2 linked regions of the Tamandua tetradactyla genome follow. The protein of the gene in region 1 interacts with the protein of each later gene in a biochemical or structural test. Links are inferred from orthologs where the notes say so. Each region holds a gene or a part of one and is shown in the gene's direction. Other genes may lie near its edges. The genes, in order: SETD1A and WDR82.

Region 1 (11,904 bases):
CTGGGGGAACCTCGGACCTGGGGGAGCCGGAGTGTGAGGGAACAAGACCAGCTTGAACTGAGACTGGACCGGTGGGCACCCAGTTTGGGATGCCCCACCCCCAGGCTCTCTCATGCTTTACTGTATTGAGCAGCTTCACCCCTCCTGACCCGAGGGGGTGGAATGCCAGAGCCAATGATGGGGAAGATGGGACTCCTCCAGCTTGGCTCTTCCCACCCTTTCATCATCATTGAAACTTATATCCCATTTGCCCAGGGAACTGCCACTCCTGGTTGCCATGGAAATAGCAGCCAATGGACACCTCCCGATGCCAGTGCTAAGGCTGGAAATGGCCCCTCTAAGTTGCCATGGGAACTTAGTAACAGACTCTCTTGGCCCGCCCCCTCCCTTCCTCCTGTGTGGGGGCGGGGTTTCAGGGCCAGGAGAAGGGTCGGGGCGCCCCTCAACACTGGCCTTCCCGGGGGGGAGGGGGGTGGCCGGATTGTACCATGAAGGGGAGGGGGGATCTATCCACATACCTCAGGTAACTGGGAGGTGCGCGGGTGGGGGGAGGGGCTGGGCGGACCAAAGGCCGGAGGGGAGTGGGGCCTGGGGATCGCGGAAGGCTTGAGGTTGGGGAAGAGGGGAAGATAGCCCGGCGCGGGTAGGCAGGTGGGGACCCAGCCGGGCTGGGCCCCCTGGGCCCCGGGTCTGTATAATATGGTTTGCTATAAAACTGAAAATCTTCCAGCCGGGGCCGCGGAGTTCGTGTGTCTGTCCGCGACGTTGGGGATAGGGCGAGGGTGGCAGGAGTGCCCACGTCCAGACTAAGGAAGGGTCTCTGGATGGGTTTGGGGTCTAGGACCTCCTACGTTCCTTGCGGTCCCGGTAAATAGGTTGGCGGTGCCTGGACTTGCCTTCTTAGAGTTCGCTATTTAGGGAGGGGCTATGGAATCGGAGCACCTAGGGATGGCCAGGTGGACTTGGGCGGGGACCGGGCACCGAGGCTCGGGCATCCCCACTCAATGAAAGCCTGAGGCCGGCGTTTCACCTCGGTCATTCCGGCCCCTGGGTGACATTTTAAGTGGACTGGGGTACCGAGGCCCCTCATGGTATCTCCTAACTGGCCCGGGACTGGAGGGGCTCACTAGGCCCCCTGACTCCACCCCATCATGTGGCCGCCGCGGCTCCGCCTCCGCCCCAGTTCCTGTTTCGGCCTCCGCTGTCCTGCTTCGGCCCTTGAGGTTCCCCGCCGCCGCTTCTTCCTGGGCGCCCGCCGTCCGCATCCCCACTCGCCCCGCCCGGGGATGGGGCCTCCCTCGGGTTCGGGCCGGCCCTCCGGGGGCCCCCGAGACGCCTCGTGACCGCTTGGCCTACCTGGTGTGGCCGCCCCCAGGATGAAGGGCGGCGAGGGGGACGCGGGCGAACAGGCCCCGCTGAACCCCGAGGCCGAGAGCCCCGCGGGCTCGGCCACGTACCGAGAGTTCGTGCACCGCGGCTACTTGGACCTCATGGGGGCCAGTCAGCACTCGTTGCGGGCGCTCAGCTGGCGCCGTCTCTACCTCAGCCGGGCCAAGCTCAAAGCCTCCAGCCGCACGTCTGCCCTGCTCTCGGGCTTCGCTATGGTGAGGGGCAGGAAGGGGTTGAGGTGAAGCACATAAGGGGAGGGCACAGGGTCGTGGGTAAAGTAATCGGTCCCCGTGGGGGACAGGTTAGAGGAAAGGTAAAGCAGGCTTTAAAGGGGGAGGGGGGGGCAAAAGGTCCCAGGGGCCACACAAGTGCCTTTTCATGGGTGGCTGGGTTTGTGTGTGTCAACAGGCTGCCGGGAGCATAGGCAGATCACCAAGGGGGATGAATATGCAGCAGTAGGGCAAAGAGGTTCTTGAGAACCTGCTGGCAGCGGTAGTTACCCAGATTCCTAGGGGCCGGAACAATTAGAGTTTCTGGGCTATGCACAGGGCTGGGGGTGGGGGAGAATAAACTGGATGGAGGGGTCACCCACGAGAGATGGGCCCAGTCCAGGGAGAAGGGCTACTGCCCAGCAGGCACAAAGGATGCTGAACATGTCTCAGGAAAGCTTCGAGAAGGGACAAGCCTTGAGGAAGCCGCTGGGGAAGGAAGCTGATTAAGGAAGCTGATAAATGATTCCCGAGCTGATATACTTCAGGTGTGGGTGGATGCTAAAAGCTAACGGTCCAGCCTGGACCCACAGGAAGTGGGGCAGAGGGAGGTCCCAGGGCGAGGAACCAGCAAACTGCAAACTGAGGTCCTGCCTTCCCCCTGCCTGTGGCCAGCTGTGTGACCTGAACAAGCCTCCACTCCCTCAAAGACCAGTGGGAAATCTAGTGAGATCATGGCAGGTGTGGCCAACATAGCCTGCCAAGTACCAACCTGGGGATGAGCTGTGATTCTTCTTACCAGGAGCCCTAGATCTGAGCAGATCAGAGCAGGACACATGCCAGAGATGGCTCAAACTAACCTCAGTTCATTGGACAGGCCCCGAGTGGGGCAAGGGTTCTGCCAAGGGCACTAGCAGTGAACTAGGACCCAGGGTCTCCACCATTATGACAGGGAGAGACGTGGGATGGAAGGGGTGGACCTCTTGGGAAGGTGCTTTAGCAGGGGAAGGGGAGATATGGAGATGGGGATAGAATCAGACAAGGTGGGTGTCATGGCACTAAGTGATTTGGCTTCATCCCTGCCCTTCTCTGTGTCACAGCTTCTGTATTTGAACAATAACAGAAATCTCTTTCCCAAAGGTCATCCTCGGTCTATGGTTTTCTGTGTAGGAGCTCAGGATCCACAGGCCAGCCTACCCTTCCTGACGGGGTAGGGTGGGGGGGTTCATCTGGGGACAGAGTTGACTCCCCTCCATTTACCCATATATGGACCTCACTGGGGGAGGTCCCTCCCACCACCAGCCTGATGGTCCAGCCAGTTCCCAAGGGGACAATCTGGCCTGCTACTGGATTTGCAGGTTACTGGGGTGACAGCTTAAGGGGCATGGCCTTCTTTGCAGAATCAAGAAGAAGCCAGATGTGTAGGTTCTGGGAGTAGAACTGGCCCCAGTCCTGGCAGGGGAGAGCAAGGCTGGGCCAGGCCCTGGGAGAAACCAGAACTAGACCTGGCCCAGATCCCATTTGTGGAAAATACCTGTTGATACCTGCTATGGCCCAATTTCCCAAAATATTCAGCCCTGTCTTCTTACTACACCTTCCCCCAGCCCCAGAGCAGTCTAATGGACCCTACAAGAACCAGGAATGGAGAAAGAACCAGATCCTGTAATCCAGTTAGCCTGAGTTAAAATGAAATTGTATTGAATAGTCATTAAGTACCAGATACTGGTCACAGGGCTTTTATAGGCATCATCCTTCTATTACCTTTTGAAGTAGGTACATTGTGGCCATCTTGCAGAGGAGAAAACTGAAGATCAGAGATATTAAGACATCTGCCCAAGGTCCCACAGGAAGTTCAAATTTATAAAAGTCTAGAATAGGGTCATCAGCTCTAATGTTTACAAAGGCCGGGTAGGTAACCTGGATGCCAGGTTGGCTGGGGGTGGGGGTGGGAGGACTGTGGCAATCCAGGGACCCCATGACTTGCCCAAGGGGAGCAGCCATGACTCAGCTCCTGCAGATAATTGCCTTGTAGCAAGGTGGATTTGGTATGGCCAGATCTTCCAAATTTTCAAAAGGATCTGGAAATAGGGATATTTATATGGAATCTCTTGAGTTTTACAAGTTGGCAATTAATTGAATTCTTTTAAAAAAACATGCCGTGTGAACTAAGCAAAACATGTCTGCAGTCTGGCTTTGGCTCAAAGAGTGCCAGTTTGCAACCTTGGGCTGAGGACTATCAGACTGATGAGTCTGATAATAGCAAATACAAAGCAACTGCTGTATGCTCACCCTATTCTTAGCACTGTGTATTATCTCTGATTTTCACAAGAACCTGATGCAGCAGGTTGGTACTATTATTTAATCCCCATTTTCCATTTGAGAAAAATGAGGCACAGAAAGAACTAAGTCACTTGCTCAGAATTACACAACTGATATTGGTAACTAGGTGGCCCAACTCTGGAATCTGTGCTCCTTAACCCCAAAGTTATACCAAGTTAGAAACAGACCATCCAGCCCTCTCAATAGCCAGGGTGGAGGAGGGTACAGAAACTGAGCCCAGGACAGGACAGAACCTTGCCAAGGCTGCCATTCATTCATTCAGAAAGATTAGGTCCCTGTTTTGTATGCCAGGCACTCTTCTAGGTTATAGGGACACAATGATGAATAAAACAGACAAAGAATTCTCTTCTGTGGAAGAAGTCATGAACACTCAAACTAGCTCCTCTTGTCCCACAGGTGGCCATGGTGGAGGTACAGCTGGAAAGCGATCACGAATATCCACCAGGCCTGCTGGTGGCCTTCAGCGCCTGTACCACCGTCTTGGTGGCTGTCCACCTCTTTGCACTCATGGTCTCCACATGTCTGCTGCCCCACATAGAGGCCGTCAGCAACATCCACAACCTCAACTCCGTCCACCAGTCGCCACACCAGCGACTCCACCGCTATGTGGAACTGGCCTGGGGTTTTTCCACTGCCTTGGGCACCTTCCTCTTCCTCGCTGAGGTTGTCCTGGTCGGCTGGGTCAAGTTTGTGCCTATTGGAGCCCCTGTGGGCACTGCAGCCCCTGTGGTACCTGTTTCCCAGGTGTCTGGGACTCTGTCACCAATGGCCACCTCCCTTAGGCCAACTTCCAAGCTCCCACCATCCCCTTCTGTAGCTCCATCACAGGCTGGGCCCCCTGAGCCCTGCCTACCCAGGCAAGTGTGTGGTACTCTTGGGGCCCACGGGCCAGGCTGGCAAGCAGCCATGGCCTCCACGGCCATCATGGTACCTGTGGGGCTGGTGTTCGTGGCCTTTGCCCTGCATTTCTACCGCTCCTTGGTGGCACACAAGACAGATCGCCACAAACAGGAGCTAGAGGAGCTGAGCCGCCTGCAGGGGGAGCTGCAGGCTGTGTGAGGCTGATGTTAGCCAGGGCTGTAAGCACTGCCTCTCTCATTCCCACCCTGGCTGTAGCCACTTCCTGTGGCCACTCTCAGGTAGAGACCAGATTCTGTCTTAGGAGTCCTTTGGACTGGGCCTTAGGGCAACTCCCACATTCCCAGAGATTTTTGCTCTTAGTCTGTCATACACAGGTATCGTAGGTTATATGTGACACTTGGGCTGGTCATGGGAGGAAGTAGAAGGGTCTCAGTCTCTGAGGCTCATGCAGGAAGTAGAAGGGAGGCAGGGAGACCCTGGTTGGAACCTTGGTGCTGACCCTTAGCTACTTACCCCTGTGCAAGGTGGGGAGGTCAGAAGGTTATATACCCACCCAGCTGTCTCAGAAGGGAGACAACTCTTGCTTTGTTTTTGTGGAATCTACCTTATGGTTGGCATTTTTGGAGAAGCTTTTTCCTATCCCGATTTTGATGAGTTCCACACTCTTGCTTTAGTTGCTGCAGAGGGATTTGAGTGTTTCTACTCCAGGAGGAGCCTCTCTAATTCTGGAAGTCTAAGCCCCCACCCCCACCCCACTGTGGGGGCCCATGGCCACATACAAAAGGGTCAGGGCCTGCCCCACTCCCCTAGGTATGTACTTGTGCTTCCACATCTGGTTCTCACTCTCCTGGGTTAGGACTAGGGGGTCTTTGGAGACCAAGGGTCTTTGTGCCTGGTCTGACTCCCTATCGAGGATTGGGGTGAGGAGGAAGGATGTCAGGTTATAAAGGAAAAGGTCCAGTTCCTATCCTTTGGAATGCAAAGCTACTGACACTGAATTTTTGACGCACCTTGTTTTATATAATAAATTGTGTTTCACAGATGTCCCTGTAGCTGTGAATGGGGTGAAGGGGAGACCTGTTGGAATTGGATGACTTGTTCATGAGAACCAGGTGGAGGCTAGGGTACCCAGGGGTGGGGTCAGTGCCAGGAGTGACCTCATCTGGTGCTGGAAGGGGCCAGCAGCTTATGAATGTGGAAACCAATTTATTCCAAAGGCCAAGGAACTCTCATTCCTATGAGCTGAAGGTGTCCACCTCTCACATTGAGGATTTAGAATAAGTTACTTAAGTGACTACTACAAGCTAGAGGATTTCCACAGGTTATCTCATTTAAACCCTTACAACCACCTCAAGAGAGGAGTCTACAATCATCGCCATTTCAGAGATAAGGAAAATGAGTCCCAGGAAGGCTCGGCATCTTGCCCAAATTGAATTGACTCGCCTTTACCATCCCTTGGGAAATCTCTTTGACTTGAAAAAAGCAGCCAGGCCCTTTCAACTGTGCCTCCATTAAAATAATTTTTTCAGCCTTATTTTCCTAAAGAATTTAAAGGGCCCCAATCCTCTCTCTTCTACTCTTGTGGTGCATGGCCTTAGACAAATTCCCTTGTCCTCTTAGTTAAAGTGGTAAAACTGCATGAACCAGGCTCCAAGGTCTTTTCAAGCACTGTTCTGATGCCTACCCTAGTCCTGTGTGACAGGAATGAACATCCATTTTTAGAAGACTGAAGCTTAGAGAGGTCAATGACTTACCCAAGGTCATAAAACCAGGGAGCGATGTAGACATGGCTGGACCTCAGGGCGACCTAAGCTCAGGCAGAGGGGTCTCGTGGGAGTCCCGGTTCTCAGACACGAGAGTGCCTGGGTTCAAGAGAGAAAAGGGGGGGGGGTCCCGACACTGGGCAACCCTAGCCCGTTTCCCCGATGTAGACCTGGGCTGGTGCTGCCCTCGAGCGGCCGAACTGTGTGAGCAGCAGACTCACTTCAGTGCCGACTGAAGAGACGGGCACTCAGATCATGACGCCTGGAGAATAGGTTAGTCCATCCCAGTTCCTGTAGGATCTATTCCAGTATTTTTGTAAAGGACACGTTTAAAGATGTTCAGCCCGAACAAGCTTTTTCAGAGACCCTTTTGAGGCAGCCTCGGATTTGACCACTAACAGTGGGGCTGACCCGTGGCAAAATGCGGTCTCTCTGCAGGCCTCAGTCTCCCCATCTGTCAAACGGGGTTCCTAGACAACTAGAGGTCCCAGAGACATAACGGGAGAAAAACACTCCCTGCATTCTGTGCGCCGCCAGGCAAACGGCCTGAGTCACCACAGCTTGGTTGTATTTTTCCACCTCCCAGACGCCCCTCCCAGCCCGCCCCGGTTTTGGTGGGTCCAACAGGAAGCACCCCTGAAGCACCGGGCTCCGCAAGCTCTGGCCACACCCCTCCGTGCGCGGCGCCTTGGCTCCGCCCACAGTGGGAGCAGCAGATTCGCTAGGTCCGCTCCTCAACATTGCTCCGGCCCTGTATGCTCGGCTGAAAATTTTCATCGGACTCCAAGAGGAGCGCTGGGCCGAAACTGTTCCCTTCTGAGTCGAAAGTGGACTGCCCTCTGAGTTGTCCTAGTAAGAAAGATCCAGAAAAAGTGACAGACGTGCCAACAGGGTGGGCTAACCGGCGTTATTTTCATGACTCCGCCAAGGAGGGCGAAGGGAGGTGACAGCTGAAGCCAGGATCCGTGGCGAATCTGCGGGCCCTTAGCCCATTCGCCGCGAGAGAAAGGGGCAAGGAAGAGGAGCAAAGGAGCGCTCATCCTGTCCACCGATTTGCCCCGCCCGCCTGACGAATCTGCGTCTGTTCAACGCGCCACTCAAACCTCCCCAGCTCTGGCTGGCTTCTTCCCCCTCCGCCCCGCCCCCTTTTCCTCAGGGACTAGTCGCAGCTTTCGTCGCCGCCGATTCGTCAAGGGACGCAGGCCGAAGCAGCTAGATAGTGGTGGTGAAGCCCACTCTCCGGGGAATGCGGCCGATCTCCAGGCTCCCTGGGCCGCAACTCCCGAGCCTTACAGGGTGCCGGCCGAGACGAGGCCGCTACCCTCGGCCCCGTGGGTCTCCCGGCGGCAGCCGTGGCGAAAGTGCAAATGCAGACCCTGTGCCCGCTGGGCCTCGTGCAGGTGGCGGTGGTGTTTGGTGCGCGCGCCGGGGAGGTGGTGGTGGTGGGGGGGCGCCGCCGCCGCCACCGCTGCGGGGCCGGGTCTCGCGCTGCCGCCGCCGCCTCGCGCCGCTAAGGTGCTGCGCGGGGTGGGGGGAGGGGGAGCCGCTCGCCACGAGCGGGTGAGTGGGGCCGCGGCGCGCGTGCGCGGAGTCCGGGGGTGGGGGGGCAGAGCGCGCCGGGGCGGGAGAAGAGGGCAGCGGCGCGCGCTCCCCCCACCCCCCTGCCCGGATTCGGGGCCGAAGCCGGGTCTCGGGCTCGGTCTCGCGGTGTTTCCAACGCCCCGAAGAGGTGCCACCTCTCCGCCAGAGGATCGGGGCGCGGGGACGAGAGCGGGTGTGTGGGAGCGGGAGCCGGGCTTGGCCCGGGCCGCTGGCCGGTGAGGAGGCGGGAGGGGGCGGGGCCTACTAGGGGGCGGGGGAGGGGTCTTGCTCCGAGGCCAAGTGGGGCGCGCGCTAGGGAGAGCGGGAAGGTAAGGGGGCGCGAGATGGCCCTGGGGGCCCGAGGGGAGAGTTGGGAGGTGGGGAGAGAATGGGGTGTTGTGGTGAAACAGTGGGTACCTGAGGGTAAATCTGGGAGAGCCACGAGTGTTGGTGAGGTGTGGAAACAGGGCTAATGAGAACCTGGAGTCTGAGCTAGTCGGTAAGGGGCTGCAAGACAGTCAGGCCTAAGTCCTGAACCCCTTTGCGTATTTTTCTTTACTAACAGTGTAAATGAGCAAAGATGGATCAGGAAGGTGGGGGAGATGGGCAGAAGGCCCCGAGCTTCCAGTGGCGGAACTACAAGCTCATCGTGGATCCTGCCTTGGACCCTGCCTTGCGCAGGCCTTCTCAAAAGGTGTATCGCTATGATGGAGTCCACTTCAGTGTCAACGTGAGTGCTTAGGCCTTTCCTTTCCATGTAGGAAACTCCAGGCCCTGGCTCTCTGTTACCTCTGTCCAGCATCTAGAACTCCTGGAGCCATAGCCTGCCTTCTGAAAAAAATGGGCAGTGCATATATGTCTCCAGATGAGCTTCCTAGAGCTCAGCAATCTAGTTTCATGTTAAGCTGTCTTTTCCTGCTTTCCTTCCTAGGACTCAAAGTATATACCAGTTGAAGATCTCCAAGATCCCCGTTGCCACGTCAGGTCCAAAAACAGAGACTTTTCCCTCCCTGTCCCTAAATTTAAGGTATGTGCCTGCTAGTCTACTGGTGTGGTAGTCCTTGGAGGATGTGGAGGTTCCATCCTGACAGTCTGGTCATAAAGTAGCCTAATGGGAAGGGATTTTCTGATGAAAGGTGCACAACCAGCTCTGACCACCTCTGAGGCTCTGAGACTAAGTTGCTATGGACAAGAGGGATGCGTATCTTCTAGAAAGGTGTAGGTGAGGCTTCCCATGTATATCCTTGGTGGCAGCAATGTTCACTTCTTGAAGGATGAGGTAAAGACAGGCTGAACTGCTATTCTCATTACTAGACGGTGCATGGCATGACAGTGCTCTGTTTAGGTATCCCAGTTCCTCAACGGGGTGTGTGTGTGTGTGTGTGACAAGGACCTTGCTTCCCTGGAGTTCTGTATTTCACCTCTCCTTTGGTGATCTTCTTTCTTCTTAGCTCAAGAGGACTAGAGGACTCCCATTTCCCTGTCTAGTGGGATACTCATCAGGCCTTGAAATGGGCCTAGCAAACTGGTTCTTTAGTTTTCCTCATTAATTCTTTATTCTTCCTTCTTAAATAAATTGTTCTGGGGCTCTCTCACCCCCCCCCTCTTTTTTTTCTAATTTGTATACTTGCCCTGGACAGTCTCTTACATACCCACAGCTTTGACTGTTACCTAAATGTGGGTGACTTCAAAATCTGTTTCCAGCCAAGATCATTCTCTTGAACTCCAGGCTACATGCCTGTTACAGGGACAGTTCCATCTGGAGATCCCACAGGTACCTCAAATTCAAGAGGTTTATAACAAATGATCTTTAACACTTCAGTCCTTCCTTCTGTTTTCCCTCTACTGATGAATGGCCACAGCTTCCACTCAGGTGCATGAGCTAGAAACCAGGAGGCATCCTATGACTCTCCTGTCCTCTATAGGGTGTCCTCGCCAAGAATCTGTCCCCATGCCTTGACATGTGTCCTTTCCATCTTCAACTCTCCTGTTGCTGTTTCCTTAATGCAAATCCTTGTATTTATTTCACTTGGTTTCCTTAACTCCATTCTCACCTCCAGTTCACACTCCACACTACTGTCACTTATTGCTTTGATTTTCCTGTTCTCTTACTTTCCCTTTGTTGCTCAGTCTCCATTTTTGAGCACTGATGTCTATGATTATTGATCTGGCTCCAGTTCAGCGCCTGTCTTAACACCATGCTCCTGTGTTCCACCTATACCAGACACTTTGTAATTTCCAGAAAATGCCAAGTTGTCTTATGGCTCCATGTCCTAGAAATTCTTGTCATCTTGGTAAGCTTCTGTTTATTTGAAAAACTCCATACAAATGGCACCATTTTTATGAATCCTTCCCTGACTCCATTCCAAACAAAGGTTTCCTTCTCTTGGCTCCCAAATGCACTTGTCCGCACCTCTGCTCGCACTTGTCGCGTCACATTGTCATTGTCTGCATCTATCTGTTTTATCCACTCTTCTGAACAGGAGTCACTGTTTCTCCATTTTCATATTCCTAGTGCCCAGGCCTTGGAAGTCACTTAGTAAAATATGAGCAAATGAATTATTTCCCTATGACTTGCTCCTTCCACGTATGTTTTTTCTTCGTTTGCACGTTTCTTTTCTTGGTTCTTGCCATTATTCTGTGTATCCTTTAGCTGTGGCTCTCTTTATGATATTTCTCCCAGGGCCCTCAGTTTCTCAGTCCCATTTCTATTGACCTTGTGGATCTAAAGTTCCCTCTAGGGCAAAAGAACAAGTTTTGAAACTCCAGGCCAACTCCCTTCCTCTCCACAGCTGGATGAGTTCTATATCGGACAGATCCCACTGAAGGAAGTGACCTTCGCGAGACTGAATGACAACGTGCGGGAGACATTCCTGAAGGATATGTGCCGAAAGTATGGTGAGGTGGAAGAGGTGGAGATCCTTCTTCACCCACGTACTCGCAAGCACCTGGGCCTGGCCCGTGTGCTCTTCACCAGCACTCGGGGAGCCAAGGAAACAGTCAAAAACCTCCACCTTACATCTGTTATGGGCAACATCATCCATGCCCAGCTTGACATCAAAGGTAAGGACTCCTTTGCCCCCTGTCTAAAGTTAGTCTCCAGCAGAGGTGGTATACTCAGATACCTTTGGGGGCCAGGCAAATGATCACGTTCACAATTTCTTATCAGAAACTCTTGAGGCCAGATGTCTTTCAGAAATGGGTATTTTTCCAGTTTTGGTAAGGGGTGTGGTATGTATGTGGTCTTTTGCCTGTTATTTCCAGCAGGGTCTGGGGCAGCATCCATGGCCAAGTACTTGACTCTATCTGTAAGAATATGTATAAAGCGTCACACTAGATAGAAGACTAGTAGAAGTAATAAATAGTAAGTAGCCTCAGCTCAGGTCAGGTTTTGAAATCAAATTCCAAAAAAATACCAGGTTTTTGGTTTTTGAACTTTTGGATACAGAATTAAGGATCTGTCTTCATCTGGGGCTTCTGTGATAAGGAGCAATAGGGAGAAGTAGGGACTATGGTGAACTGTATGTAAATTTAGTCCCATCTAAAGAGACAGCTTCTTTAGGCAACAATTTACAATGAGGACTAATGTTGCCAAGTAATCTAATTTTAAAAAAGAAGCCAGAAATACAGATTTTTGTGTGAAATTTCATGGTTTTAAATACTGGTTCCCTCCAGAATTTTTGAAGTCATTGCAAGTAAAATACCACTGTGGGCTGCTTTTAGCCGTCAGGCAGCCATTTTGCGTCTTTTATAGGAAAAAG
Region 2 (11,396 bases), on another chromosome or scaffold:
TACTTATTCCTCCTACCCCTTCCTAATTCAGGGCTTTTTCTTCTACCCTCCCTTCTCTCCAGGGTGGTGCCTGGTGGTAGTGTATTTGGTGGGTCTGTTACTGGACAAAAGCGGTGGATTTTTTGCCCAATCTGCTCAATGATCAATTCCTGAGACACCAAGGTTTCAAAGAGAGAATGCGTTTAGTAATAGGCAGGTAGTAGGAGAGCATATGGTCTATTAGCCCAAAATCTGTCTCCCAGAACTGCAGTAATTCTCATAGTTTTAGTAGAGAAAAGGATGGGCAGAGTTTAGGATAATGAGCACAGTGTCCCCAGATGATGTAATTACAGGTGATCTAATTATTGAGTATGTGCAGATTGATTACATGCTTAGAAGAATGTATATAAGAAAATGGTGGCCTTAATATGATGAAGGGTGTGATTTTTATAATGAGGTACAGGTGACTTGTAGGTTAACGTCTAAGCTACTGCACATGTCAGGTGGGCCCACTTTGGTTAGACCCAGTCTCGGTCATCAAGATAACTTCGGACTTGGGTGGGTTAGTTCTGGGCTGACCCAAGACCCTTCATTAATAAACAGTTGGGGCTGTCTTTAGTGATTGCAAGACTCTAAAGTTAAAAAACTGGATAAATGTGTACAAATGAAGGTTAGTCGCAAGGTTTTTACAATCACAGGGACAGAAGATAAAGGCTATAAAATCATTATCAGGTATCAAGGCAGCTGGATTATAATTTAGAGATTTCAGGTATTTCCCTACGTCTGTTCCAATATACCACAAGGCAAAAAAGGAATATTTATATAACGATTCAGTAATCGAAATCATCCCTTCAATCCTAATTTCTCAGTTACAAATCGGTGGGCTCTAGCCCTCTCCATAGATGGCAGGTTGGGGTCCTTTGGCTTCAGATGGGTCAGCTGCTGCTGTGTCTCCCATAAGTGGTAGCCCCAGGCAGACTGTCTGTGCAGGACATAGGCCCTCCTGACCTTGATTAAGGGCTCCTTCATGTTTTTTTTTCTCTCCCCTCTCTTACTGTTTTAGCCTGCCTCACAACCTACTCTCAAACATTTAGAAAATAGATAGACACATAGATAGAATAGTATAACAAATGTGGCAAAATGTTAAAAGTTGGTAAATCTGGGCAACTGGGTGGGGGATATATTAGAATTTTCCGTTATTTTTGCAACTTCCCTGTGTGTTATTTAAAAGTAAATTTTTTTTTAAATCTTTTAAAATGCTTTAAAACATATATTAATTTGATCATGGGGTTGAGGGGTGTGGGGATCCAGGGCCTGGGATTCCCCTTAATATTAAGAGGTACGTAGCAGCCTACATGACTGGTATAGATATTAAAGGCCATCAAACCTCCTGGCGGTGGGGAGAGGGGGGGAGAATGTACAGATGGTATCATAAACAAAGCATTTAAACTCCCCTCCTTTGATCACTGTTGATAACAAACCTCCAGACCCCTGTGTCACTAGGCCTTGCTGAAACTCTATTCTCATACCCTTGTCCTAAACTCTTAGAAGCCCTTGCACTCCCCTCGCCCACTTTGCGGAGTGCTAACCTTCAATTTTCCATGGCCAGCTGCCACCATGGAAGATCTTCTCCTGCCCGTAAATCCTAACAAACTCATGCCTAATTCCATGTCAGAAGTGTCCTTTAATCTTTGGGCTGCCCTGATCCAAGCCCTCCAAGAGCTGGGTTGGAACTGGGAGCAAGAAGCCAACAGAAAATATGTTTAAGTTAATTAAGCCATTGCTGGGTTGACTTTAACGCCAAAGAAGAAGTTTGTAATTTCCATTTGATGTAAAATATTATCTCCATTCATGGCCATCACAGTACATTTATTTCCTCTTGGTGGAGAGTGAAATGAAGCATTCATTTAGCAAATCGAGCAATTTTTCAGGTAAGGAGTATTTATGTGTAAGCTATGTGTGACAACTGAAACATGCTATACAAAATTACTGTGGGCTGCAACTGTATTCCAACATACCCCTTTCCTTTTTGGCAATTTAATTTCAAGTGGATGCTCCTAAAGAAGCTTTCCTAATGAAGATGGTCACCTGAGAGACCTGACTGGTAGGTCTGAGGGCTTTTATAAGAGGTTAATCAAGCTCCAGGGGTACCCCACGGGGCATTCCAAGTCAGAAATCTATCTCCAAGAATTGGTATTCATAAGGAACTCTCTGTTCTGGAGAGAAGATAAATTTCTTAGGACTGGCTCCAATTAAACTCGGTAATATGAAAAGCAGAAATGTAATAAATGGGCCAATAATATATCTGGAATCCTAAATTCACTTATTCAATTAACAATATATATTGAACCAGACCCTGGCTGGGCTCTAAATAAAATGGGAAGCAAAATTACTTTACAACCACATGCTGGAATACTATATAGCCATATATAGTGTAACTCTATATTTACTGTCCTGGAAGATGTTCCTATGAAAGAGTAGATTATAACTAATATCATATTAAGAACCCATTAAGAATAGATTTCAGGAGAAAAAGTTCTACATCAAAATGTTACAGTGGCCATCTCTAGATGTTTTTATTATTATTATTACTTACTTGCATTTTTAAGTTTTTCTTCAATTCATATGCATTTACTTGCATGAAAACAGTAAATGAATGAAACAATGCTTTAAAAAAAAAAGGAAAAGTAAAAATTAAGTCTGATACTCTTTGAGACATTCTGATTTACTTCTGGCTGCAGCTTCCCCCTCTGAACATCCTCCACTGGAGCCAGCTTTTCTGGGTCACTTTTTAAAGTCCAGCCTTTCAGGCAGCAATGTTGGTGGACTGGAAGTCTGGAACAGCTGGGCTATAGTAGGCAGGGAGCTGGGCTACGAATATGAAATAGTATCTGAATTAGTCTCCAGGCTGTGACCCATAGCAGAACACTCATAAAATATGAAAAAATGACTTTTTGCATTCCAAAAATAATGCAGGATGCCAAATCTTAGGAGACAGCTTTGGTCTTAACAGTGAAATCTGGAAAAGGTACAGTGAATACAAACTTGAAAGATATGCTGCAAAGATTTATTTTGGCTGAGAACATTGAGTAGGTTTCGGCTGTTTTTGTGGCTATATTCTTTGTAGGTTAACATGAGCCAAAATATGGCATCTTACTGAGTATATTACTTACCAACAGTTCCTGGACGTGGCACCAAATCTGTCTTATTGCTATCTAAGGATTCAAAGAAGGCTCTATATCAGCCTTTCTAGCCTGTAGATAAAGATGCAGGATTTTGCAGTGAAGTGAGTGAGCGAGTGCTCTGGGGCACCGAGAGCTTTTCTCCCATTGCTTTGCAGTTTGGAAAGTTGCCATCCATTCAGGTTTCCTTCAAACAGGCTTTTTCCTGACCCCAGAGCAAATTGTAACCAGAAGCTCTCTGCTCTTTGTCAGGAGGCAATTGCAGCCCAGACCTAGGCAGGATCTTACCCTCTCCCCTCAAAAAAAGATTTCTCCTAAGTAAAAATCCTGGCTCCTCTTTTACCCAGGAGATGAGACCCTAGTTCTTTCCAGAAAGGGCCCAACTGTCTCAGGCTTTCTGTTGTTTTTACTGTTGTCCGGGTTACATCTGGGTCTCTGGATATCAAATCTTCCTGATGTCAGCGACTAAAAGGACTCAACAGTCTTCCTTCTTTGTTTCTCTTCCTGTTTAATCACTGCAAGTTTACTAAAGCAAAATAAATAGGATCCACTACCATTGTCCAATTAACTATTTGTGAAGCAACAAGAGTTAGAGATCCTAGAATCTGTAATCGAGAAATTAGGATTTAAGGGATGATTTTTTTCAGTTTTTTAAAATTAATTTTTAAATTAAAAAAATACAAAAAAACACATTCTTAATTTATGATCATTCCGTTCTACATATATAATCAGTGATTCACAATATCAGCACATAGTTGCATATTCATCATCATGATCATTTCTTAGAACATTTACATCAATTCAGAAAAAGAAATAAAAAGACAACAGAAAAAATTCATACATACCATACCCCTTACCACTCCCTTTCATTGATCACAAACATTTCAATCTAAATTTATTTTAACATTTGTTCCCTCTATTATTTATTTTTATTCCATATGTTTTACTCATCTGTTGATAAGGTAGATAAAAGGAGCATCAGACACAAGGTTTTCACATCACAGTCACATTGTGAAAGCTATATCATTATACAATCATCTTCAAGAAACATGGCTACTGGAACACAGCTCTACATTTTCAGGCACTTCCCTCCAGCCTCTCCATTACATCTCGACTAACAAGGTGTTATCTATTTAATGCGTAAGAATAACCTCCAGGATAAAGTTGGGGAAGTTGAATTTTCCTTAAGGGATGATTTTGATTATTGAGTCATTATATAGATATTCCTTTTTGCTTTCTGGAATATTGGAGTAGAGAGGAATGCTTGAAATCCCTATACTATAATTCGGCTGCCCTGATACCTGAAATGATTGCAAAGGCCCTTATTTTGTGCCTTTGTGACTGTAAGAGCTGTTATCCCCTTATCTGCTCATTTTCTTGTAAGGAAAAAGCCCTAAGACTAATGAAAAATTTGAAGTCAGCCATTAACTACTTTCAGCGTCTGACATCTGTAAATAGTATCAGTTAGACTCTGCTATTGAAAGATAACTTGTCTCCCTTCCCTTTGGCTTACACCTTTAGTAGTGACATGATAGTTCAGCCTTCCTTCCTTTCAGCTGTTTTTTTTGAAATTGTAATGACCTCAGCTCCCCTTACTAAAATTCTTAAAAATTTTGAACCCCCTAAAATTGGGGAGACAGATTTCGGGCCGCTAGACCATCTGTTCTCCTACTACACACCTAGTTATAAACTCTCTCTCTTGAAACCTGGTGTGTCAAGAATTGATTATTGAGTGCGTAAGGCAACAGAATCCACAGCCTTTATCCAGTAACAAACTTGTAGTGATTGCACAGAGTTTAATCCCTTGAAGAAAATTAAAGCCAGAAAGCATGGTTCCTATTTTGTGATCCTTTACTAGAGATCAACTTTCCTTCCTTTTACAGCAAAAAATACCTTTTACAATATTGCCCTTAAAACAATCCCATTGACTACAAAGCTGGTAATGGAACTGTTGTATATCTTTAATATGGTGGTGGTTGGGAGACTTTTTGTGGGTGTCGAAATTCATAAAACTATCCAGTGTAAAGGAGAAATTTTTACTGAATCTAAATTACACTTCAATAAAAAACACCAAAACAATCCGATTTAGTAACGCAGGTAAATGAGTAAGATACACTACTATAGCAGGACAAAAATGGTTACTTCTATGTTTACGTGTATATATGCATAAGGCGAGCAAGGAGTCAGGAGAATTTAAAACTGCATTTTGTTGATTCAGGAGATAATTGTTCCTTTAAAATTTTTATTTGTAACTGACGCTATGCATTTTAGAATGTACGTTTTAAAGCTTAAATATAGGAGCTTTTACATTTATAAAACTGTATGGAGCTACACTTAAGATTAGTTCATTTCTTCTTGTTAAACTGTACTTGAAATTTATTACTTTTCTGTATATATGTTATATTTCACAATAAAAATGTAAAAAAAAAGATTAGCTCACTTCAACTCTTTTCATTATAACTCAATAAAAAGTTTTTTTAAAAAGCTTTGAAAAAGTTCTAGGTGGTGGTCAGAGAGTATAATCAAATGAAAAAAATCATCCACTTAAAATGTGGGCAGTTCACCTTACCTTATATCTCAATTAATAAAAAAGAAATTGAAATTCTTCGCTGGCGGCGGCGTCTTGGGCGAGCAGTCAGGCCCGCCCGCTATCTGCTCATCTGAAAACACCCCCAAAACTGATCTCCAGGGCAGCACCTGACACTAGCAGTGCTCAGCTTCCTCGTGGTCGGCGGTCAAGATGCCAGCAGGGGGCCCCCGAGTTTCTCGGGATATCTCAAAGCCCGGCACAAAATCCCTCGGCTGTCCCTTTGGTCCAGCAACTCACCGGGACACAGCAGCCACAGGCCGCCCAGTAGCTCCACTCCCAGGAGGCCACCCTGACGTCATCGCCCCGCCTCCCGGCCTTTCCCGCCCCACCCTCTTTCCCGGCGTGCACCACGGCAGAGGCTCCTCGCCTTCGGCTTCTGCCTGTCGTCCCAAGATGGTGGACACAATGAGCAGGACTCGCGCCGGTTGGCCCTAAGGCGACCGGGAGAAGAAACCGTCTGCACGTCCCCGCAGTCCGGGCAGGAGAGTACTGCACGAGTAGAAAGAGAAGGCGGCTTGACTGTCGCCTGTCCTCTCGTTCGTCGCAGGCGCGGCGCCCGCTCCGCCCAGGTTGGCCCCTCGGCAGCCCGCCCGCCAGCTCGCCGCTGGGCCCCGCCCCAGCCCTGCGCCGCCGCCTCCAGCAGCCGCCGCCATGAAACTGACCGACAGCGTGCTGCGGAGCTTCCGCGTCGCCAAGGTGTTCCGCGAGAACTCGGACAAGATTAACTGCTTCGACTTCAGCCCTAACGGCGAGACGGTCATTTCGAGCAGCGACGACGACTCCATCGTGCTCTATGACTGCCAGGAGGGCAAGTGAGTGCGGCGCTGGCCCTGGGCCCAGGTTTGAGTCCCTCCAGTGGCCCGGCTCTCGCCCTGCGGCCTTCCCTCCTCCTCGACTTCGGCTCTTGGCCTATTTTGCACTCGCTGCTTACAGGGGCGCCTGCAACGTGCAGCCGTCCGGGAGACCTTTCCTTTTCCTTCGTCTTTATTATTATTGTTGTTGTCAGTGTTATTTTGTCTGTTTTCGGTCTCCTTTTAGAGCACTTCTGCATCTTTTACCGAACCCCACCTTGACCTTGACCTTTAAAACGCCCCATCCCGCCCCCAGCAGGTAGAGTTTTCCGCTACCCTGGTACTGTCGATGGTGCCCATTGGCTCTGGCCCAGACACTGAACCTCAAAGAACTACTCCAGCTTTATTCTAGAGCATCACCTCTCTCTGCCCTCTTCTCGGTGACCTCGATCCAGCCCCGGTAGTCCACCCATTCTCTGCCTCTCAGCTTCCATCGGCCTTTCTACCATAAGGCCGCGTGGGTGCAGTTTCTTAGCTGTCAGGATTTCATTTTGTAGTGCCTCTTTGGGCCCCGGTCCTTCCCTTCCACTTCCAAGCCATTCTGTTACTCCCTCGGACCCGGTGTCCACGCTTATACTGAACTTTTTAACATCTGAAACTTTTTCTTCCTTTCCTGTTATTTCTTTTTGCCATAACACCAGCGAACTTGGCCGTCCCATCCCAATCTGAATGTGAGCCTCCCGTTAGAACAAAGAAAGCATCGTATAACAGTTTCGTGTTTCCTCTCCCACTTTTTTTCGATTACACTTCGTGGTCCACATAGAATGATCAAAATTACTAGTCTGATCTTGCAACTTTTATGCTGCCCCAGATCCTCGGGCGACCCACCACACCTGCATCTCTTGCAAAATCTTAATAAGCACAGCACTTTGCATTCTTCCCTGGGGCACCTTTTCAGCCTGGCTTCATTCCTGTATCCTTGGCTTTCTCCAGATCTTACTGACTTGTGAGCTCCTTTGGAGCCTTAAGCTAAATTTTTGAGTTTCCCTCAGCCATCTTCCCCAAGCAGACTTACTTTTAAGTCGGTGGTTACTGGTTTTGTCAGACCTTGTTTTGTTATCTGGATCCAGATATTTCTTGAATCTTTGGATTTTTCTCTTTTCCAGGTGTTCCTTTTGCCTCTTTCTTTTTTAAACAGATATCCCTAAACTTTTCTTTTGGAACTTGTTTCTTCATTTCTCAATTTGATTATTTAAAGTAGTGCGGTTTTGGTCTACCTAATTTTTTTCCCACTGGTCCTTGTGAGAAAGTATTTTGTAATTGGTTCTGGATCTGCCTGCAGTGTATGGAAGAGTGCCTGCGGTGGTGATCCTGAGGGAGAGGGAATTGTTACCTGGACCATACTAAGTTATTTGAGTCAGTGTTACTCATTTAGTAGATGGATTTCTGTGCAGGCCTGACCATTAGAAGTCAGCTTGAAAGAGGGAGTTTCAAGCTGGGGTTGGGGTTGGGATTCTAGAGTCTGGAACTAGAAGTAATTTGAAGCTGGCTTGCCTGAAATGTTAATTGCTTGTACACAGATTAGAACCTCTCCCTGGTACCTGAGGATGGAGGTGTATTCTGATTCAAAGGTAATGAAGGCTGTAGTAGAATTTAGTTGGTCTCCGAATGTGGTAAAATTTCGAATTGTTGGGAGGGATGACAATGGCATGAAGTTCTGTCTTGTTAAAAGTAAAATGCCAACTTTATGACAATGCAATATATTCCCTCCTAGCATTTTTACATAATTACAAACTTAAAGAAAAGTTACAACATTGATCAGAGACCTCCCATTTGATCTACCAGTTGGTTACATTTGTTCCATTTGCTTTATCACTCTATGTAAATATTTGTTTGTATGCATATTTTTTCCTGGGCTATTAGAGAGTAAATTGAAGTTATCAGGCCCTTTTATCCTTAAACACTTCACCATGGATGGCCTCAGCACCAGGACCTTGTCTTACAGAGCTGGAGCACAGTTACCTAAATTAAGAAATGTAGTGTTGATACAGTACTATAGGCATGCTTTTGAAAATTTTCTCCCATCAAGCAATTGTGGCCTTGTTTCATTATACTCTGTGGCATCAGAAACCTGGTAGTTAGGAAACTTGGGTTCTAGTTTGGCCTTATGACCAGCCATGTAATGTTGGTGAAGTCAATATCAGACAACCATTGCTTCCAAGGTCTCTTTAGTCTCTAGGAATTCATGATCCTAAGAGGTAATGTGAAGAAAATTTTTGCCACTAGTGTAGGTTAAATCAACATTGGATGAAAAGTAATGTTTCTTGGGAAGGCATAGTATCTTTATTAGGTAGTACTAGTGTTAGAATTTGGGAGTTTGAAAATGGCTAAAATCAGATTCTTTGTGCTTAATATTTTCCAGTTTAATGTTCATTTAATCTTTGTTTACAGTGGAGTTCATCCATTGAGTAATTTTTCCAACTTCAAAGAATATAAAGGATATTGTTTGTGGTAGGTAGTACAAATTATTTAAAGAGAAGGCTTTTATATTATTGCCTTATACCTGATTACCAGAATCATAGTTTGAGGTTAGGAGTTTACCCTTAAAAATTGTGAAAAAATGTGCATGGGCTTTGTAAAGGCCCCCTGAAATGGCTGCATTTAGGATCTTACTTTCAAATTAGGAAACGGGTTATATTAGGGAATTAACAGAATTCTGTTATTAGGAACAAATCTCAGATTAGCATTATTGATAAATTTGTGACAAATAGGCCACATCTAAATGGAAATGAAAACTTATGCCACACCCTTTAGGCTCTGTCCTCATTATTGTAGACAGGCTGAAATACTCTGGGGTAGGCTTCTCTTTCCTCTGACTCAAAGTCAGCTTTGAGTTGCACACACATACACACAGACACACACACACACACACACACACACCTCACTCACCTACAGCAGAACCCCAGATGGTAGACTCAGCGGTAGGCTTTGAGCTCATCTGCTTTTTTTTTTTTTTGAGTGCATGGTCTGGGAATAGAACCTGGTTCTTCCACATAGAAGGGGGGCATTCTAACCGCTAAGCTACTGTGCACCCCTGAGCTCATCTTTTTTTAGGGATGATGTAAGAATATGGAAAATCTGGCATATTTGGAATCAAGATTCTTTAGAAATAGATTTTATGTCGGGAAGCTTTGGCCTCATTAATATTAACAAAAACTGAAAGTGCAAAGAATTATTTACAAAATTGTTCAGTATTAACAAAAACTGAAAGTGCAGCCTGACTTCTTAAGGCTGCCTCAGTCCTCTGATTGTTTAGCTTCTAAATTCCAAGAGGATTTTACCTTGAAAAGGTGAACTTTTTCATAAATTGGAATTCTTGGTAAACATTGGTATGGGATTTATGAAATCCTTCTAGGACCTAAATGAAGAACATTATGTTAAATTCTTTCTTGTTTTCTGGCTTGGTAAATTATAGAGAGTCCTATTACTGAAATCTAGCTTTACAAAGTCGTTTGAGTGTGGGGTGGGGTTGCCTAACTTAAGCAGTGTGTGTGAAAGTTTTTGGTTAAAGATTTTGCTAAGATTAGTTTCATCCTGATCTTCAAGGTTCTATAGAGGAAGACACTAGAAGTGCTTCAAATAGATTGATAACCCCTAAGCTTGGTATTGTGCCCTTTTACTTTTAAGTAAAAAGAAAAGAACCCTTGATTAGTTTGCTAGGAAAGGTTAGGCTTACCTGCTAAAAGGCTTGGCAGGTGCTTTGGACCTGTAGGATAGGGAGGATGCATATGTTCTGCAAAAGTAGTTAGATTAGGAAAGGGGAAGCAGTTTTGCATCTGGTTTCAGTTTTGCTAAATCAGTGCCTTTTTTGAGGAAAGTGCATCTTTCCAAGTGAATAGCTTAAGAAAAAGTTCTTGTCTCTTTGATTTGACATATCTCTGCATATGTCTTTGTTATAAATTATGACTTATGTTGTTTGGGGTATCTTTCTTCCCAAATAGTTATATTTGTCTTGTTCTCAAAGCTTACTTTTGAACATTGCAGTAAAAAGTGAATTGAGCCACCCAGATTTACTGCTGTTTCGTAACCTCAGCATTAGGTGTTCAAAGGCAAAAACCTTCTTAGACAGCTGTTGCACTTGATTGATTCAGTGTGTTTTCCCCCTTTGGAAGAAATTCTGTTTCTTTCCAGTGTTCCAGCTTTCTTAAAATCCTTACCCTTGCCATATCATTCAAGTGCTTCTCTTTATATGGAGGTTCCATATTTTGGTGACGAGGATTTTGATGGTTTTCTTTTTCTGTCCATTTCCTCTTCAGACCAAAGAGAACCCTGTACAGTAAGAAATATGGCGTGGACCTCATCAGATACACACATGCAGCAAACACAGTGGTTTACAGCTCTAACAAAATAGACGGTAAGCAAGCCTTATTTTTAGGAAGTTAAGGTCGTGGTTTCCTTTGTTAAATAGTTAATGGAATTTTTGTGAGTACTTCTGCTTTGATTATGGTTACTTTAGGTTAAATATTTTCCTATGATGTTGGAAATGCTAATTACATTGTTAAGACTGGAGGCATGCTAGAACCAAGCCACCATCACTGGCACTTTTGAAGGACCTGGAAGTGAGTGTGAAAGGCCCCCTTACAGTGGGGAGTGGGAAAAAGAAACAACAAATTGCATTTATGGTTTGTACCTCTTGAAACTTGGAAGAATACATTTAGAACAAATAAGAGGAAAGAATACTTGATTGTAGCAGGTGGCAAACAACAGTACCTTCACATTGATAATATATTGATTTGAGAAAAGTTCTCACAAATGCTTGAGCTACGGTGGTTTAAGGGGACTTAGAGATTTTGA

The links.
Region 2: the proteins of SETD1A (region 1) and WDR82 form a complex in vitro, tested with the Homo sapiens proteins (2 studies listed by BioGRID). The link is inferred for Tamandua tetradactyla from reciprocal best matches to the Homo sapiens genes SETD1A and WDR82.

The regions. Positions count from the first base shown.
Region 1 is NC_135349.1:23,547,566-23,559,469, reverse strand, and holds the start of SETD1A (histone-lysine N-methyltransferase SETD1A), read left to right. Parts: upstream 1-7,246; 5' UTR 7,247-7,923; exon of another isoform or gene 7,924-7,962; intron 7,963-8,041; exon of another isoform or gene 8,042-8,122; intron 8,123-8,193; exon of another isoform or gene 8,194-8,379; intron 8,380-8,708; 5' UTR 8,709-8,723; coding exon 8,724-8,873; intron 8,874-9,074; coding exon 9,075-9,170; intron 9,171-10,935; coding exon 10,936-11,206; intron 11,207-11,904. Other genes in the region: ORAI3 (protein orai-3), read left to right, coding at 278-523, 4,335-4,997. UniProt on the Homo sapiens protein: Histone methyltransferase that catalyzes methyl group transfer from S-adenosyl-L-methionine to the epsilon-amino group of 'Lys-4' of histone H3 (H3K4) via a non-processive mechanism.
Region 2 is NC_135341.1:33,590,473-33,601,868, forward strand, and holds the start of WDR82 (WD repeat-containing protein 82), read left to right. Parts: upstream 1-6,089; 5' UTR 6,090-6,402; coding exon 6,403-6,563; coding exon of another isoform or gene 6,564-6,591; intron 6,592-10,858; coding exon 10,859-10,956; intron 10,957-11,396. UniProt on the Homo sapiens protein: Regulatory component of the SET1/COMPASS complex implicated in the tethering of this complex to transcriptional start sites of active genes.